Caenorhabditis elegans: one gene and its partner. The protein of the gene in region 2 binds, or shares a complex with, the protein of the main gene of each other region. Each region holds a gene or a part of one and is shown on either strand. Other genes may lie near its edges.

Region 1 (5,041 bases), 6.0 Mb from region 2:
ATGAAATTGTCTAAGATGACCGAAAATTGTCTGAAAACTCATGAAATGCTGTTTAAGCCGTGAAAATAACCGGAAAATTGTCGGAATTGAGCTGGAAATTATATTTTTCAGGAATTTTTAGTTAAAAATTATCAAAAATTGACTGAAAATCACGTTTTTCAACTAAAAATATATTGTTGAGTGAGGCTCACACTACAAACTACAACATTTTCTAGCCTCAACCAATTTTGGTTGAGGCTCACACTACAAACTACAACTTTTTTAGCCTCAACCAATTTAAGGTGAGGCTCACACTACAAACTACAACATTTTCTAGCCTCAACCAATTTTGGGTGAGGCTCACACTACAAACTACAACATTTTCTAGCCTCAACCAATTTAAAGTTCTCAATTTTGGTTGAGGCTCACACTACAAACTACAACTTTTTAGCCTCAACCAATTTAAAATTCTCAATTTTGGTTGAGGCTCATACTACAAACTACAACTTTTTAGCCTCAACCAATTTAAAATTCTCAATTTTGGTTGAGGCTCATACTACAAACTACGAAATTTTCTAGCTTCAACCAAATTTTTTTGAGCAAACTGTGTCAAATTTGCGCTTTTTTGGTAATTTTTTCAGATTTTTAGTGCGATTTTTAGGGTTTTTTTTATTGAAAACTTCAATTTTTGGCGAATTTCAGCCATTTTTCAGCCATTTTCAGTGTATTTTTTACCAGGAAACTTTAATTTTGATCATTTTTAGCCAATTTCAGCCATTTTTAAGTCAGTTTTTCAAAGGAAATTCCATTTTTTTGAGCAATTTTCAGCCGATTTTCTGCAAATTTTCATTATTTTTACCTTCAGTTTGAATCCATAATTAACAGCTTGACTAGTCATCGGCAAATTCATCATATCATACCAAATCTTGGCGGGACCCGTTCTCCACGGCTGAACTACCGTACCCTCTTCATTTTTCTTTGCCATTTCCTCTGCATCCGTCAGTATCGGTCTCCGCATTCGTTCTTCTTCATCGTCAGCCAACATGACACGTGGCACCTTCTCAATGATGTTAAGCTTCAGCTTTTTGGCTCCAACGATGACGTCATCAGCGAGGGGCTCTTCGGGCTCTTTTTTGCGTTGATGTTTGGAGAAGGTTCGGGAAGCCCACCAGATCTCGGCACGGGACGTATGTTTGATATTTTGAGCAAAAAGTCGAGAGAAACGAAGAGTTTTGTTTGGATTGAAGTCTTTGAAGAAGATTCTGAAAATAAAATTAAAGGATTTTGCGGAAAAATGGGGGTTTTCAGTGATTTGCGTGAATTTTTGGCGAATTTTCGGAATTTTTTTGGAAATTTTAACAGAGAATTATGGAATTCTAGAAGAAATTAGCAGTTTTTAGCAATTTTACATCAAAATTTCGAGTTTTTCGGCGAGAAAAACCAGTTTTCAGGGGAAAAATGACGGGTTTCAACCATTTTTTTTGGAATTTTTGCAGAAATTGGCCAATTTTCAGGCTTTTTTTGGCTTTTTTGGCTCGAAAAAAAGGTTTAACAATTTTAAAGCAAATTTTCGAGTTTTACATGAGATTTCTGATGGCTAGGAAAACCATGGGTTTGTGTGGAAAAATTGTGGGTTTTTTCGGGGAAAAGTGACACGGGTTTCAACGATTTTTGAGTGAATTTTTGAGTTTTTTAAAGGAATTTTTGCAGAAATTGCCAATTTTCGGGTTTTTTGACTTAAAAATTGTGTATTTGTGTGTTTTTATGAAACTTCATTGGAAAACTGACTTTTGGAGCAAAATTCGAATTTCAATTTTCAATTTTCGAATAAAACAAAACCCAACATTTCAGTGAAAATTCGATTTTTCCAACAAAAATCGTCACTTTTATTCGATTTTTGCGCGAAATTCGAATTTCGGCAAATGTTTGCCAATTTTTTGAAATAATGGCGCTTTTCATGCTTAAAAAAAGTGAAAATTTGTTTTTTCCAACGAAATTAGAATTTCTATCAATTTTTCGAGAAAAAAAAATGAAAATTTTACTGAATATTCGATTTATTCAACAAAAATTGAAAAAAAAATCGTCACTTTTACTCGATTTTTTTTCGAAAAATTTTGAAAAAAAAATCCCATTTTACGATTTTTTGTCGAAATTTTTGATTTTTCCAGCAAAAACTCTTTCCAAATCGACTTTTGGCGGGAAATTCAAAAAATTTCAGTTTTCAATTTCAAGGGCAAGCAAATTTTGCGGAATTTTAAAAGAAAATTATGGAATTTTGGAAGAAACAGCACGTTTTGAGCATTTTTGGAATACTTTATTCAAAAAATGTCATTTTCGAGCAATTTTCAGAGTTTTTAAAATAGATTTTCCGAAGAAAATTCGAATTTTCGGGTGATTTTATAAAAAAGTTTGTAAAAATGGAAAAAAAAATAAAGTTTTTAGAGAAAAATGAAATTTTTTTTAATGTTATTAAATTAAAATTTGTCAATTTTTATACCACACACATCTCATACTACACATTACAGGATTCGGCAGGAAATGAAATTTTTTGTCAAATTTCCCAATTTTCAGTGATTTTTGATAGAATTTTTGAGTTTTTCGTGGAAATTTCCGGTAAAAAACGTCAATTTCAACAGAAATTTGTGGTTTTCAGTACCTCGGATCAATTCCATCAAGATCCGGATGTAAAATAGATGAAAGTGGTGCATCATCTCGAAGTGATGGTCTTGCAAATGGTTCCATATCTTCTAATCGTACAGGATCACCAATATATTCTTCAAATTCTTCATTTTTTTCCACTTTTGGCTCCATTTTCACACTTTTAGAGCCGCCATTAGAAGCTGACGAACATGCTGAAAAAATGAAAAAAATGAAAAATTAGTGAAATTCCAAAGTTTTTTTTTTCGATTTTCGCTACCTTCATTCCGTGCTGCCGGATGATTTTTGTAGAAATCCGAGAGATTAGCGTAAGGATCCTCTAGATCTTCTTCATTTTTTGGCTTTTCCGTTCGATACCCATTTGTGTGATGATGTGTATTGTTCATTACTGGAAAAAATTACAATAAAAAATTTTGAAAAATATTTTAAAAACCTGGAGATTCACGAATTTTTCAAGAAATTTTCACGAAAAAATTGAATATTTTCTGAATTTTCTGCTCAAAGTTGCTCGATTTTGAGTTTTAGAGATTTTGAATTTTGAAAATTCATGAGTTCTGTCTATTGATATTCTTTAGAAAATTTTCAGAGAAAAAAAAGAAAACGGAAATTTTGAAAAATTCGAAAAAAAAACCATTAATTTAGTCTCAAAATTGAATTTTTATTTAATTTGAATTTGAAAATCGATAAAATTTCCATTTTTCCGAATAAACAATGAATCAAAATTGTGCAAATTAAGAAGAAAACACCAAAAAATGCACAGACTACAAACTACAACATTTTCTAGCCTCAACCAACTTTTGGTGAGACTAAAAACTTGTAGAAAATTGGAAAAAATTACGATAATAACTTTAAAAATAATTCTAAAAACCTGATGATTCACGAATTTTTAAATTTTTTCACGGAAAAAATGGATTTTCTGCTCAAAATTGCTCGATTTTGAGTGAAAAATGGATTTGGTTGAGGCTCACACTACAAAAACTACAACTTTTTCAGCCTCACCAAAGGTTGGGCGAGGCTAGAAAATGTTGTAGTTTTTGTAGTGTGAGCCTCAACCAACTCCGGAAAAACTAATTTTTTGGGGAAAGTTCTCAGTTTTTTGAATGAAACTCGAATTTTAATTATTATTTCTTCAAATTTGATTGATTTTCGCATAAAAATTAGACTTTTCAAGAAAAAAAATGAAATTTACAATCATTTCGCTGAAAAATTTAATTTTTCACCGGGAAAATTCATTTTTCGACTAAAAATGTTATGAAAATCTAATTTTTTCAAAGTTTTTCGGCAAAAAGTTGAGTTTTTTCTGACTTTTCGGCTTAAAATTGCTCGAAAAATGCATTTGGTTGAGGCCGACACTACAAACTACAACTTTTTAAGCCTCACCAAAAGTTGAGTGAGGCTAGAAAATTGTGTAGTTTGTAGTGTGAGCAACCAAGTGCGGAAAAAATCTTTTTTTTGTGGAAAATTCAGAATTTTTGGAATTGAAACTCGAATTTTAATTATGATTTTGTGGAATTTATTGGATTTTGGCATTAAAAAATGAAATTTTTGAAGAAAAATTCATGAAATTTGCAATTTTTAGCAGAATTTCTGACTGAAAATTCAAAATTTCGCTTGAAAATTCAATTTTTCGACTGAAAATTGAATTTAGCGACTAAAAATGTGATGAAAATAAGTTTTTTCCAAATTTTTACAGCAAAATTAGAGTTTTTGAATAAAAATTGTTTTTTTCTAAATTTTTCTTCGAATTTTCACTTTTTATTCGGTTTTTACCGATTTTTAAAACAAAATTTCTGTTAAACGTTGGTTTATGTGAAAAAACGTTTAAAAATTGAATTTTCAGCTAAAAAATAGAAAAACTATTAAAAAAAAAAATATTCAAGTGCAAAATTACACTTTTTCGAGGATTTCCCCCCGAAAAAACCGGAAAAGAATAGCGAAAATAGGAAAGTGAGAAATTCATTTCAAATTATGGGAAAAAAATGACAAAATTATGGAAAATGATTCAATTTTTTCAACAAAAAAAAAGATTCAATTAAATTGATTGATTATCTGAGAAAATTCGAGAGAAAAAACAATGAAAAATGGGCAAAAATACAAGCGAAAAATGGGAATTTTACCCGAAAATTGACACGAAAATGGGGGGGGGGGGGGGGGGGGGGGGGGGGGAAATGGGGATTTATTAGGGTTAAACATGGTAAAAATTGACTAAAAATTCAATTTTTGGGGGAAAAATTCAGATTTCTATGAATTTTTACCCAAAAAACTCGATTTTTTTCACAGAAAATTAGAATTTTCCACTGAAAATCAGCTCTACATCCTCTGTTGCTGCAGTTGTCCCATCAATTGTCCGAGTTCAGGGCTTGATTGGAGCCCCGAGACGTCTGTAGACATATCCTGAAGATAT
Region 2 (5,938 bases):
CCAACTTTTTCAGCTCCACATTTTTTGCTGCTACGTTCTTCACAACTGCAGCAAATAGTTCACTGACATCTTTTCCTTTCGCTATCAGCTGAAATTTCAAGTTTAGATAATTATAATTTATTGGAAATAAAATCTCACGTTAATTATTCGTTTCATTGCATCAACTTTTAGGTTATCTTTATTACTATCCAGCATGGCTTTTAGGTCAGCGAATCGTCTGAAAGTAGATATATTCGAAAAATGTTACGTACAGTTATACCTAAAATGTAACTGTTGAAATTTTTTAAAAAATAAGTATTTTTATTAGTCTTAAGTTAACAAAAAAACCTACGTCCTATTATCCAAGATGACTCCGCCCTCAGCAATTTCCATTTCAGGGCTGGTCAACCCTTCGACGAACGACGTCATCTGAAAATAAAATAACCTTATTTTTAAAAAAGAGAAAAAAATGTAATAAAATATTTGCAGTGTCGGAATGAACACATAATTCCAAAATAAAGCCAAAGGGATTTTAAAATAAATTTAAAATTTGTTAAAAGGTTTTATTCCACCAGTGAAAAAGAGATTTAATATGAATGAGAGGATCACGTTAAAGACCAGATTTTGAGATAATGTATTTTAAAGATAAAATGTTCAAATAATAGCAGGCAAGATGACAGTTATTGCCCGAAGCAACCAAATCCAAGAAGAAGATTTCGACGAGTGAAATGGAGTCCGATTACTGCAGTTTCTTTTGTTGCATATGATCCTATATTGAAACCGTCCAGATTCACTCTGAAATTTTGTAAAAATTGATTGAAAAAAGCTTGTAGGAGTTTTCGAGAAACTATATATTATGAGGACTTAGAAAAGACATTCTGAAGTGGAAACGCGCTCCACTGCCGAATAAATACGCCCCGCCCCCAAGCCATAGGTCTCATTAGGTATTTGGCGACAAAACCGTAAATTCGAAAGTTTTTAGTATTGCCGATTTCTCCGATCTTCAAGCATTTGTCCTGTTTTTAAGTGGTTTAAAAAAATGTTATGGCTAATTTGATGAATAAAATTTATACTTTCTTCTTTCTCGTAAGGGGATTTTTCTGCGTTTTCATAATATTTGTACCTGTATATTTCTCCAAGTATTTTGTTCCTAATTAAAACTTACTTTGGCTCAATGTAGGAATCATTTTGTCCAGCGGCGAGAACTGTTCCAATAAGAGTATCAAGTGAATATAATTGAATACTTGAATTTCCATGGGATACCGCAAATACACCACCATCACGAGAGAATGTAATTGAACCCTGAAATGAACTAGTAATATGATATTATCATTTTTATATTTCACTACCTTCGTTCCAGCTTGTTCCGTAATTTCAGCTGCAACTAATCTCTGGTATGCCAAATCCCAAATCATCAGATTTCCAATAGCATCTAACGAGACGATATACCGACCACATGGGGAGAACTTGACAGCGATAATCGAAGCTTTATGACCACTAAAAATGCGAACTCGAGTACCAGAACAAACATCCCATACTCGAACATATCTATCATCTGATCCTCCAGCAATATAATTACAATTTGGATGATAATCAATACATCCAACGTCTCCATATGGATCAGCGAATATTCTAAGTGGATGCATTCGATCTGTCGACCACATTGCAGCTGTTTTATCGGCACTTGCTGTAGCGAAATAGTATCCACGACTACAGAATTGAGCCTGTAATAGTTTTCAGATTAGATAATGTAGAACGTTGCGCTGAAACTTTATGAGACAGTTTTTTTATTAGTTAAATTCGATAATTTCGGATAATGATCTATTATTTGAAATAAGATTACCAACGACACTAAATATCTCAGTTAAAATGCTAGTTAAAATTATATAAATACAAACCTGCCAAACTACTGCTGGTGTTCTATAAATAACAGCATTCCTCTGAGTCTCCATACTCCAAAGTCGAACTGTTCGATCTCCGGCAGATGATATAAGAAGTCGTCGATCCGGTGAAAAATTGACAGAAAACACGGGACCACCGTGGCCTGTATACCTCACACTTGTCGTTGATCCTTGTAAATCAAACATTTGTGATTGCACGTTATCCGCAGTTTCAATATCGATTTTATCAAGAAATTCCATATCACGAAGCTTCTTCATCTTATTCATCGGATCCATTGCATTCATAACAATTGAAGAATCAGATAAACCCATTGCAATAAGACTTGAATCATCCGTAAAATCACATGAAGCCACTCCAATTGGTGCATTTACTGTTGTGTACATACAAATGGAAACGGGTGATTCAGCTGAAATGATGGCCATTTTTCCGACGTCTCGAAGCCAATTTCGTCGTTCCTCTCGAAGATGTTCGCTGATTGGTGGAAGAGGAATTCGGTCAGCTTGTGGGCAATGCTGGAAATAACAAGATATATACAAAGAACTATGAAAATTACAGAACAAAGGGAGAGGGACTCAAAAAACACACTAAAAAATTTTAATCGTCACAGCTACACCCTCAACCATTTAAATTTTGACTGTATTTTTCAGTGTATTTTTGCATTATTTTCAGGCCATTAGAGTTGCTCCAAAAGATACTTTTGAATATTTTTGAAGACTTCAAAAGAGTTTAGGTGTAGCCAAACATTATTTTTGGAAATTTATTCAGAAAAAAATCAACTGTTTTAAAATTAGATTTTTCAACATAACATGCCGATTAAAATGTTACAGCGATATGTTATCAGCAAAGGTGTTCATTTTTCGATTTTTCACAAAAAACAATAACGAAAATATTACGTTTTTCGGTTTTTGGGAAATCGAAAAATCTAATGATTTTGTTTTTGATTTTTTGAAAATTAGCTTAAAATATTGACAATTTTTTTCTCTTTTTTAGAAAACAATTATATATGTTCTTATGTTTTTTTTCATTAACATAAACAAAATTTGATAAACATTTTTAAAATTTCAGGGTAAGATGAAAATCTTTCCTTGTCAGTACAAAAAAATTCAAAAAAATTGTTTAAAAATCTTACCGTCTGCATTTTCTTTCCCATATCTTTCCAATCTTTTCCTTTTGTCTTCCGTTTTTCAATATTCTGCATCAATTCGTCTTTTAACACCGAAAACATCATTTTATGTCTTTTATCACTTTTCGAAGTTACTCCAAGAATTCCACCCATTTGGGTTTCTATTGTCGTTCGATTTGTGGATACTTCGTCAGCATCTTTAACGGATATTATTATATTTTTTTTGTATATAAAAATGAATACTTACTTTCAATACAAATATGTTTTGCAATTATATTCTTAACACCAATCACTCTCGTTTGAATTGATTCAAGATGTTTCAGTGTTGGCCTCGAAAGTCGAACAAGAAATTTATTTTCTCGTAAAATGTGAACATGTTCATTGGCTCGTAACGTCATTGCATCTTCGATTAGTGATAATTGATATACAAATTCCGAGAAACATTCAGGAATGAAAATCTTGAATCGATTGAAGAATATACGGGCAGTTGCGGCATGCTTTTCAATTAAAGCTATATAGCTGTGTGCAAATATAGGAAATAAAAGTTGACTGAATTCCGCTTGAACAACATCTGTACAATCGTTTGCGTGCTGGACAAATGTGTCGAATTCAACGGATATCGCTTCTCTGAAACTTTTGGTTTTTAAGACATTGGGCTTTGAAAAATTCAAATTTTGTCTATTTTGCTATTAAAAAAAATTATTTCTAAGATGAAGTGGCGAAATTTGAGTAGATTCATTAGACTTAAAATGATACCGAAAACCGAATGTATTATTAATACGTCTTGTAAATTTCCCAAATTTATTTAAATACCGGTTTTGAGTTTAGGGGAAAAGTCTATATTCGGCAGAAAATTACAAAATTGATTTTTTCGGTAAAAGTGATCTTTTCAGTCGATGGATGCACAACATTTGGAAAAAATTTTATTTTGAAATTACTGTGTGCACATCTACTGAAAAAGCATCTTAATCAACTGGTTAGCTTTTTTTTGAGAAATTTAAAACAATTTTGTGGGGTCATTTTGAGTCTAGCAATGCTCCAACCTTTTAAAATATTAATTTCTAGATACATTTTTAAATTGAAAAAAAAAACTTACTCTGGAGGTAATCCATTAGATCCTTCAACTCTAAGTACTGGTCCAGCTTCTCGAGTCAAAAGCTCTTCAGTTTCTGTTAAACCATTTCGTCGTAAGTATCCAATAATCATTTGAAGTGATTCATTGTTCATTGGCCGAGAAAGCAAATTATCCTCCATTGCTGAATTGTTGTGCGTGTTTTGAAACATTTGTGGAGAACTTATCGAATGACTACTCGAATTCTCGCTATCCATCAAGTTCATTCTCTGGAAAATATATTATTATGAGAAAATACTGTCAAAATATCAAATTTGATATATTTTTTTGAATTTAAACCGACATTTGTTAGAAAAATAATTGAGTTCAAAATGGTGTTTTTTTTTTCAAATATGTGGCCAATTGCAGAATTTATAAGTAGAATAAAAGAGCGAAGAAGAATTAATTCAAACGTCACTACGAACTTGTTGCCGACATGGTGCAGCAGAGCGAGATTGCAACTAACCTACGTAGGCATGCCTACCTTCGGAATTTCTGTCAGACCTTTTTGTAGGAGTTAAAAGTTAATTATCTATGAAAAAAAAACGGTGTTTGGGTCCTGTACTCCAAAAGAACTCTACTCAGTTTCTTTAAATGAAGGTACCCAATCTTAAATAATTATGATATCTCCCTTGATATCACTTTGGCAACTAACTAAGAACACTAAATATACAGTAAAATGTTATCGCTTGTAGTTTGTAGTGTAAATTTAACATTTTCATTCCAACTGATTTCAATACAACGATTAATAAATATTCGAATGTATTCAATTGTGCAATCAACAATATTTTGTTTGCTATCTTATCATTTCTATGTATCTGATAACGGAGTCGATTGCTACAGTGATAACTTTCTAGAATGATGAAAAAACGTAAAGTAAAACTAGGGAAATAGTTAATTAGAAATACTTACCCATTTTGAATTCAGCCGTTTTAATTTTTAATATCTAATGCAACGAAAATACGAATTGTTGTCCTAGAATGACGATTTCACACACACACAAACGTTGTCGAATGCATATAAAATTCAGAGGGACGCCGAGAAGCAGTTGAAGCCCAAGCGAGACGCAGAGGCGAACACGCTCCGTGTAAGGATCGATAGACTGGAGAGACAGATGCACACAGAAAATGAATGGGGGAGTGGAAGACAGAGAAGAAGAAGACGAGCATTGCTTGTGTTTCTACACATTATGGACACTACTACAACCTCGTCTTTAAAGAGTGCTGAGAAAAAGGACACTGATGCGACGCCAAGAGCCCATAGTCCTGAAATTGATGTTGAAGTGATCAAATCTGATTGCTCTACGCCGGAGAAACAGAATGGAGCAGTTGGAAATGAGCAGCAGATGAATAATTCAACTTCTACAAGGAGAACTGATGTAGGTTTTTTTTTAATAGAAAATGTTTTGTCGATACTGAAAAATTGAAGCTTTGCGTCTAGAAACCTAGAAAGCTAGATTCTTGAATTTCAGAGCAACAAAAACCTGTCACCACCTCCTCAACGTCTTCGTACATCTAGTAGTACATCTGACGGAACTGAAAATCTAATTTCCTCTCTATCATCTTGGGATTGGGTTACCATAGATGGTCTGAAGCTTCCCGCAGTGACACGTAATAAAGAACGTTATGTGGCTGTCCATATGGTCCAGCTGAAACTACTGAGCAAGTTCCCATCGGATATTCCACGTGACATCACACGAAAATTCACGATGGGATCTCACAAAATGACAGTAACAGAAGCATGGACATTCAATACAATTAACGCTGTCATTAGAAAGTTTGATCTTGGTTGTCAGTTATTTACGGCAAATGATGAACTTGTCA

What was found.
Region 1: taf-5 (region 2) and taf-1 share a complex: the UniProt entries of both Caenorhabditis elegans proteins name them as parts of the TFIID basal transcription factor complex.

The regions. Positions count from the first base shown.
Region 1 is NC_003279.8:13,859,458-13,864,498, reverse strand, and holds the start of taf-1 (Transcription initiation factor TFIID subunit 1), read right to left. Parts: upstream 3,026-5,041; 5' UTR 3,024-3,025; coding exon 2,897-3,023; intron 2,832-2,896; coding exon 2,636-2,831; intron 1,242-2,635; coding exon 839-1,241; intron 1-838. Other genes in the region: W04A8.6 (ANK_REP_REGION domain-containing protein), read right to left, coding at 4,948-5,041. UniProt on the Caenorhabditis elegans protein: The TFIID basal transcription factor complex plays a major role in the initiation of RNA polymerase II (Pol II)-dependent transcription.
Region 2 is NC_003279.8:7,848,220-7,854,157, reverse strand, and holds taf-5 (Transcription initiation factor TFIID subunit 5), read right to left. Parts: upstream 4,346-5,938; 5' UTR 4,334-4,345; coding exon 4,101-4,333; intron 3,632-4,100; coding exon 3,252-3,631; intron 3,202-3,251; coding exon 3,011-3,201; intron 2,394-3,010; coding exon 1,878-2,393; intron 1,704-1,877; coding exon 1,329-1,703; intron 1,282-1,328; coding exon 1,145-1,281; intron 775-1,144; coding exon 660-774; 3' UTR 522-659; downstream 1-521. Other genes in the region: apb-3 (AP-3 complex subunit beta), read right to left, coding at 1-88, 139-217, 332-408; F30F8.5 (MATH domain-containing protein), read left to right, coding at 5,305-5,493, 5,587-5,938. UniProt on the Caenorhabditis elegans protein: The TFIID basal transcription factor complex plays a major role in the initiation of RNA polymerase II (Pol II)-dependent transcription.